Oryzias latipes: one gene and its partner. The protein of the gene in region 1 interacts with the protein of each later gene in a pairwise test. Links are inferred from orthologs where the notes say so. Each region holds a gene or a part of one and is shown on either strand. Other genes may lie near its edges.

Region 1 (4,400 bases):
TCCTCCTCAGACTCTGCCGAAGCTTGTTCATTTCCGGGGTCACGTGCTCCCTAGAACTGCAGACAGAAAGGTCCATTGGTTCGGTCTCCTGGCAAATACGACCAAACAGCGACAGATTCTCTCAAGACTCAAATGAAAGGCTTCATAGAAGATCATGAAAGTGGTGTGGGATGGCTTTTATTGATTAGCTTGAGCTGATTGTGCAGTAATCATCTGTAACTCCTGTTTATGGGCTTCAGTCTGGACCCTGACTAAGCTCTTATAATAATTATAATAATAATGGATTGGATTTATCTGTGCTTTTCCAGACACTCAAAGCTTTTACAATGTGTCCATTATTCATTCACTCCTCATTCATACTTGGTGATGGTAAGCTACTGATGTAACCACAGCTGCCCTGGGGCAGACAGACTGGGGCGTGGCTGCCAGTCCCTGTTCCACGAGCGCCTACGGCCCCTCTGACCCTCACCTGGGCATTCATACGCATTCACAAACCAGTGGAGCCACACTGGAGGCAAGGAGGGTGAAGTTTCTTGCCCAAGGACACGACGACAGTTGACTGGGGGGAGAGGAGATCTAACCGCCGACCATTCGAGCATTGGCCGACCTGCACAATCTCCTCAGCCACTGCCGCTTGTGTCAGACAAACTCAGGCTGCAGGTGGAACCAAACCACAATGTTGAGGACAAGAACGGAGATCTATGACTTCCAAGCTGCAGCTGCTTTCTTTCCTCCTGAACATCTACATCTGGACACCAGTTTGTCCAACTCCTGAGGTTTGCAGAAGACACCACCTTCTGCAGCTTTTATCACAAATGAAGAGGACCGAGGGGAGGCAAGTACAATCTTTATGTCTCTATGAACGTTGTTAGGTATATTTTCCTTTTTTAAAGGTATATGACGATAAAGTTGAGCTTCACATGTTCCCCCACTGGCCTGAGGTCTACCTCAAAAGCTTCCATGCCTATCCTGACATGTCACTTAGGCTACCATTGTAACCTGTTAGAAAGTCCTCAAAGGTTTTTCCAGCCAGCCCATCACAACCATCACTTGTGAGGACCCTCTAATGGACTGTGATAGGAGCAAAACCTTCTCAAGACCACCAAACAGGATCGCCATGCTTTCACAATTCTTCAGAGTAAAGCAAAATGAAAAGGTCTATGAAGGCAGAGAAAAGACACACACAAGCAAACACAAACAAACATTTCAGTTTTTCTCTGATCTGTTCTTCTCCTCCCTAATTAAAACCATTAAGATCTCTACTATAATTTATGTAATTGAATGCTATCAAATTATGACCTGTTAGAAAACCATAACTTCTGTTTTTCTTCTCCCACCTTCACACAATTTTGACATAAAAAGCCCAAAGACTTCAGCTGTAGTTAGATCTTTTTAGAGCTGAATCAGGAGGCACATTGTAGATTGACTCCATTGGTCTCAGAACAAGAAAAGGTGTTAAAACAGCAACAATAACAAAAAAAGTAAAAAAAAAACATTTTCTCTTGCTTTTTACTGAAGTTCTATTTGCTGAAAAATCCGAACTGATAGTAAGTTTGTCATTTTCTTACCCTCTAGGAGCTCTGAAGGCTTCCATCATAGGCATTCTGGCACAAACGCTACACTGAAGACATGTCATGATCTGCTCATTCAGAAGAACAACACTCCACTCTGCGCCGACACATGCTGTTCACGGGTTACATACTAATGTATGTGAGCACATCACTTCCCATAATCACTCCTGTTCCTCATGCGTCTCCCACAACCCGGAATGGTTGCATGCAAAGAGATCAAGTGGCTTTACTCATCCATGGCACATACACACACACACACTCACTCAAACACTTGTGCCAGTTATTTCTGGGTTTAGTGCCTGCTGACTGGTACCTGGCAAACTCCAGTCCTTTTGCTGCAGTTGTGTGTGACGGGAGAGCAAAAGCAAAATGATTCATAATGTCCCACTCAGAAGGCAGAATAGAGGGAAGAAGGGTGGTCATTTAATTGCTGTGTTACAAAAGACCAAAGAGGGGAATCTCCTGTAGCCACTTTTGTAATTTAGGGGTTACTTCCCCGAGTGCTCTGATTACCACGGGCACCACTATCCCCTTCACCTTCCAGGCTTTCTCCAGTTCTTTCCTGAGCCTCTGGCATTTCTCTCCTCTCATGTTCCTTCTTGTGGATGTTTTTTATTAATCACTTGGAACTGCCACATCCACCACAACGGCTTTCCTCTGTTCTTTATCCACCACTACAATATCTGGTTGGTTCGCCATTCCCATCCTGTCAGTCTGGATCTGGAAGTCCCACAGGATCTTTGCTCTCTCATTCTCTACCACTTTAGGAGGTGTTCCCATTTTGAACTTGGGGTTTCCAGTTCATATTCTGCATACATGTTTCTGTATATATTATTCCAGAGACTTGGTTGTGGCGCTCCATGATTGCTTTCCCTGTCAATATCTTACAACCTGCAGTTATATGCTGGATTCAAGAAGTTCCCTTAGACTAGCCAAATTAGAAGACCACTTTGAGACATGCCATTTTGTTTTATTGCAGGGGTCTGGAGACTCAGAAAACCAGTCAGTATAGGGGAGCTGGTTATTAAGAAAATTGTGCATTTTGTTGTAAACACACCAAATGTGGCATAGATGTACCTTAGGATCTGAAAAGTACTTTAGCCATGAGAAAATATGTAAAAATATATATATCACATATAATATACTGTACATATGATAGTGTTCTATAGGTACCCCTCAAGTTTAAGATTGCATTTTGTGCATGAACAGTCCATATTGTTGAGACTGGGACAAATGGACATATTTTTTTTTTTTTTTTTTTTTTTTTTTTTTTTTTTTATACACTGTATTTTATCCCACGAAGGGAAATTCTTTCTCCGCATTTGACCCATCCCCTTGGGGAGCGGTGAGCTGCAGCCGAAACCGCGCTCGGGAGGCAGTAGCGTTAAGGGTCTTGCCTAAGGACCCTCACTGGGTGATGTTAACTGCTCGACATTGATATGGTAATTGCCCCCAGTACCATTGCTCATTCCCCTCCGGGAATCGAACCCTGGTTTCCTGCGTGGTAGCTTCCCACCTTACCAACCGAGCTACCCAGTAACAATTGACAGCACGGCTGCGTTTTTACAACTGGTTGCCTTTTTGGATTATTCTCATGACTAATGTGCTTTTCTAAAATAGGGCATCCTAGGGTATATCCATGCCAAATTTGGTGCTGTACCACAAAATGCACAATTTTCTGAAATATCAACCTAACTGGCACCGCTAGTATCTGGTGTGACCACCATTTGCATCATGCAGACACTTGGTTGTGGCGCTTCATGTTTGCTTTCCCTGTCAATATCTTACACTCTGCAGTTATGTGCTGGATTGTTTTAGGCATTGTTTTCCGCATGCACATCTCCTTCACATAGAGTTGGTCAGGTTGTAAATTGTGGCCCATGGTGGCGGTGGGGTTAAGGTATGGGCAGGCGTATATTATGGACAAATAACACAGGTGAAAAAAGAAAAACGTCCAGAATGTCTGCATCGACCCCAGGTACCAAACCATTGGTATTCTTAGGAGACATTCAGTATCACTCATTTTTACAAGTGGATATTCTTTTCCAAACTATGTCAATTGAAACTATCGGCAAGAAATCAGTGAACTACTAATGGGAACATGGAGATTGCAAAACAATCCATGAGTCTTTTTTCCATTAGAGCTTCATCCATGAAAAGGTTGTGAGGTCACAGGTCTGTTACCAGAACATCCCAGCGCAGACTGGAGCCAACAACTGTTTATAAGATCTATTACCAGAAAAAACCTCAATCAGATCAATCTAGATCTTTAAGTTCATGTCATGAACTTAAATGGGAGCAAAAACATAAGCGTTGGGTTTATATTTTTGTTCTCTTAAATATCTTGCTACATTAGCATTTATCATTTGTGAACATTGAAACGTTGAGCTACTTGTTGCTTTGCAGTAAGCCTGAATTGTGATTTTTGAAGAATTAATTGACTCCACATTCTTTTAATCTAATCATTCTGAGCAGGAATACTTTAGTAGTAGCATTCCAACAGAACCTCCTCACATTTCTTCCATTTGTGTCTTGTTTCAGCAGGTGATTTCTTCCCAAGGTGCTTTGGTTCCACAGTGCATGGGGTAATCTGATCCGGCATGTTGTGTTTCATCGTCACTCAGTAACGTGAATGCTCATTATGTTAACTTTGGAATCAAACCCTGTCTTCCGTCTGCTACTTTGGTGCTTTATCAATTGAGCTTTCAAGACTAAATACAACAGTCAGAGGTTCTGGTTGTTTAACCTCAGCTAAATCAGCAGGTTTAGGGGAGTGAATTATAAGGTTGACCTTTCAGTCTCTCTGAAAAACTTCATCATAAGGCTGCC
Region 2 (4,555 bases), on another chromosome or scaffold:
ATAACAGAGAAAAAACAATAGAAATGCAAGACTTAACTTATCACTAATCCAAAAGATTTACACTGACACAGACGTTAATCGTTTTTTGAGCCTTGGTTATTTTTTGAAGCATAATAAATTAGTCTTAAATATTGCTGCATTTCCAGTTTCAGTACGAAGAATGTAGTTTTTATATTTTCAAATTTACCAGAATAAATGAGAGCATGTTTCAGGTACACAAACTTCTGCTGCCAAAGAAAAAATATCTAACAGCAGCAGGAGCAGCTAGCGAGTTGCACAAACGCGATGCTTCATGACCGCAAAAACAATTCCGCAATCTCAGCGTTATTCAAAACTAACTGCTAAGAACCCAATGGGAGAAAAAAATACACTGTGATGTCTGAAAATGTTGTCATTAATTTACCTGCAAAGGTGTTGACAGTAGAGCGTTTGTTTGACCTCAGACCGGCACACGACTCACTTCTTGCTAGCTGTCCGTACAAAACTAGATCCGTCCGTGTAAATCGAATGACAACTTTAGTTCCGCAGGAAGAAAAGAACAATAATAAACGGAGGACTCGTGTGATTTTACGTATGTATATTTCTATATCTACTTACTACTGAATATAAAATACCCCAGCAATTAAAGTTAATAAAAGAACAAGATAACAATTGACCCCCCCCCCATATCTTAAATATCAAAATGTCAGGTTAAGGGGTTCGATAAATGTTATCGCACATCCAATCGCACATCCAAGAATTTCAAATAGCTAAATTGTTGCTATTGTTGTTGTTAAATAAGACAAACAGGCAGACTCAAAAGCTCAAACTTCGCATAGTTGCAGGACTTCTTACAAATAAAAAAAAATTATTACAAAGAATTTAGAAGTTTTAGAGCTCTTTGACATGTAATTTCAATTATTTAGAAAAGCCCAACAATAAGTCAATAGTAAGTCAATAATAATAATAATAATAATAATAATAATAATAATAATAATAATAATAATAATAATAATAATAATAATAATTCAATGATAATAATAAATTATAACAATATAAAATAACAATAAGTCAATGATAATAAATAATAATAATAAATCAATAATAAGTCAACAATAAGTCCAAAGGTTAACAACAGATTTACCCTAAAAGACAGAGAGAGAGAGAGAGATGAAGAGTGATTTAGAGAATTAGAGATAGAGTGATCAATTTGGTGTTACACAGATGGTATGGGGCCGGGTTTCAAGCGAACAGTCTGGCCAGTCTTATCAAAATGTGTTTCCACAAAATGTTTTGAACATAGCCAGACTATTGCTAGTCGACGGCAAATTATACGTACATCATGCAGCATGTTGATAATAGCCCTGCAGCCTCATGCATGTCAACATGTGTACTATTAAAAAAAAAACATGTGTACTATTAATGAAGCCCCTGCAGCTTTAAAAGAAAAAAATATGGTACTTACCTGTCAAATGTTATGCCTTTCTCCTTCGTGGACTCATTTCTCCGATTTTGGCAGTTGAAACCCGCAACAATGAACTGGCATTTTGCAAAAAAATGTGTTCAAATGCATGCAGTGCAGCAGTGACTTCACCTCACCAAGATGGCGGTGCTCTCCTCCCATGAGGAACCACGTGATGTCTCCTCTAGCGATATAACTCATTGCTCCTACCATTCCTGTCACTGTTTACGGTCACACACTCCTAGTGGAAAGTAGGTCATGGGAAAACAAACCGACGCTTCCCGCTTAACTAGTTGTCTGTTGTAATTATTCGGAAGTCCGCGGAGTCGGTACAGCTTTGTTTTTGGGTCAAATGAACGTGATGCTGGAGAACTAAAGCAAAAAAGGTAACACGACCCCCGTATTTTGTGAACACACACACACACACAGCTAGCTAAGCTTCTTTTTCAAAAACGTTCACATTTGCATCACCAACACAACAATACTTCCATTATAAGTCGCAAAAAGCGTTAATTTGTTTTAAATATTAAATAATGCAAATTAACCCTCTTTGCCGCCGTGATGTTAACAAATATCAATTGTATGCATGCGTGGCTCACTGTATTTGGGGTTAGCTGCTCCTGTTAGCTTGCCTATGTAGCCAACTAAAGCTAGCTAGCAAAACATAACCGCGCATCGATGAGATGTTTTGTTTTGCTGCAACCACGATTTATCTGTTATATTTTAACCAAGAAAATAATTTAGTTGCATTATTATATATATTTTAAAACCTGGGTAGCTATGTGCTACTAATTCTGCAAAAACATACGTATTTTTTAATTGGTTGCTGGTTCCTAAACTATAAAAGAATCCTAACTTGAAACTAGGCTAAACATTTCCAAGTATTTTCCCAACATTTGTCAGTAAAGACAGTGGCGAGCAAAATGTGACTCAAATAAATTTGTGCTAATACGTGTTTTAGTTGATCTCACTGTACTTTGTTTGCTGGTTTTGACATTAAAGTAGCGAATGCAGGGGAAAGTGTGCCAAAAAGAAAAAGCGGATATTGTGAAATCTATATATATTTAAGCAGACACATTGAGTTCAAGCTAAAACTAGGACAACACGGAAAAAAACCCTGCAAGAGTTGGCCCAATTTTGTCCTAAACGTTTTACAATATAGAATATAACTTAAGGGTGCCTGATTAGTTTATTAAATCAGTAAGATTCCACTTAATCCAAATCTACTTAAGGAAGCAGGACTGCTTCTCTGGTGAACTGGAAGTAAACTGCTCTACGTCTTCATGTTATTCTTTAAAATGAACAAATATGCTGCAAATTGAATAACTAAAATCCGAGGCTTAAAGACCCACTCCATGAAAATTATGTTCTTGGTGTTTTTGACATATTCTTGTGGCATTTACCTGATGATGGAGAACATATACAAAGAAAAATTATCTCAAAATTGTATTTGGAAGTATTTTCTTCATTCAAATTGTATTGAATCAGGAGCAGACAAACAGTGCTTAGGAAGAAGCTTGTAGCAGTGACATAGATGCTACAGCGGCGGGCCACGAGCTGCCTGCTCTGCTCCATTCTGATCCATCCACTTGTAGACCAAACTGTACGGCTTCAATATTGCTCTCTGTTTTTGCGAAACCAGTAATGTCAGGTTGGGGGTGTTGGGGGCTGTAAGCTGGTGGGAGAACGTGTAAATAGATGGATAATTGGAGGAAGGACAGGCCTACCCCGCTTACAATTCAGAGGGGAACTACTAACAGTACAGGTGTCTTAATTTATGGCTTAAAACGGCTTAATCATAAATAAAAGACCACTTGGAACGCTTTTGCAAAGCACAAAAGATAATCGGAGTGGGAGTTTAAATTGTTCAGTGCTTTCAATTTTTTTAAAGTTGAGATAAAAAACAAAAACTAAAGTTGTTGCTATAAGTGCAATACTGTATTTGTCTTTCAGCGGCTGGGCTTATGCATGCCAGTCACTTGGACCACACTGTGACTGTACGGTAACTTCCCCGGCTTGTGAAACTGCTTTGCTGCCATGTCGAGGCGGAACAGGAACAGCCGTGCATGGCGATACGTTTGGGGTGGGATACGGCGGGACGCCGATGCCCGGGCTTTAGTCCTGGCCTCAGAAACCGAGGACTGGAATTATGAACGCTTTGAGGTAAACATACATTTATTTAACAATCAGCTTTGTTTCGATTTCACTAATGACTGAGAAGCATACTGTAGCAGCAGTAAAACAACATTTAGCATTTAGACTTTAACTGGGTGACATTAAATTATTAGCAAACCTAAGTGGTTGGTAAGTAAAGAGATCATTTTGGAAGTGGAGTGACATTTTGTCAACAGCACTGGAACAAATGTGCCACAGGCTTCTTGTCTCTTGTTTTTTGCTTCTCTTGGAACAGTGAACACTTGTTTATGTGACTGCTGCAGGCATTTAATAAAAGCTTCTGCTGTTTATTGCTTTAAGTTATTTTTTTTCCACTCAGGAAAAAAACAACAATAAACAATGGTGTGATTTATTTTCAGCACGACACTTTACTTGCCCCTAAGCTGTTTTTGTCTTGGCTAAAAAGGGTAAATGAGGGCATATCAGGTCTTAAATTGTTTTATTTTTTTATAAAACAGCCTTTTTTTAGTCATTTATCAATATTTTAATTAACAGCTACCACCAGTGGTATAACGGACAAAAGTTGAACTTGAAAACTCCATAAAGAGGTCTGCAGATCCCAAGTACATTTGTGCACACTTATGCCTTCAGCACTTTAATTTTTAATGGTAACACTACTAAAAGTATGCATAAATACTGTTTTCCATGTAACCGTTGTAATAGTAAAAAGTTGTCAAACTTTTTTTATATTTGGTTCAAAATTATGGAGGAATTAATCCTAGATGTTAAATTGGGAAAACTGCTGTTTTTAATTGATCCTGTGAAGGATTTACTTAACATATAAAATGATCCTGAATCATTAGGACACCAAATAGTATTTCATTTTTACACCTCGATGTATTGTGAACTCTCCATATGAAACATAAAAATGGTCTTTGGTTTGTGTCCCAGTACAGTGATTCCGATTCGGAGGCTGAGTTCTCACCTGTGATGCGTCTA

The links.
Region 2: the proteins of numb-like protein (region 1) and SPRY domain-containing SOCS box protein 3 interact in binary tests that used the Homo sapiens proteins (3 or more experiments, as listed by UniProt). The two-hybrid records come from large-scale screens. The link is inferred for Oryzias latipes from reciprocal best matches to the Homo sapiens genes NUMBL and SPSB3.

Annotation. Positions count from the first base shown.
Region 1 is NC_019871.2:18,103,798-18,108,197, reverse strand, and holds the start of numb-like protein, read right to left. Parts: upstream 2,844-4,400; 5' UTR 1,637-2,843; coding exon 1,569-1,636; intron 57-1,568; coding exon 1-56. UniProt on the Homo sapiens protein: Plays a role in the process of neurogenesis. Required throughout embryonic neurogenesis to maintain neural progenitor cells, also called radial glial cells (RGCs), by allowing their daughter cells to choose progenitor over neuronal cell fate.
Region 2 is NC_019866.2:14,628,271-14,632,825, forward strand, and holds the start of SPRY domain-containing SOCS box protein 3, read left to right. Parts: upstream 1-1,609; 5' UTR 1,610-1,826; exon of another isoform or gene 1,827-1,827; intron 1,828-3,391; 5' UTR 3,392-3,478; coding exon 3,479-3,604; intron 3,605-4,507; coding exon 4,508-4,555.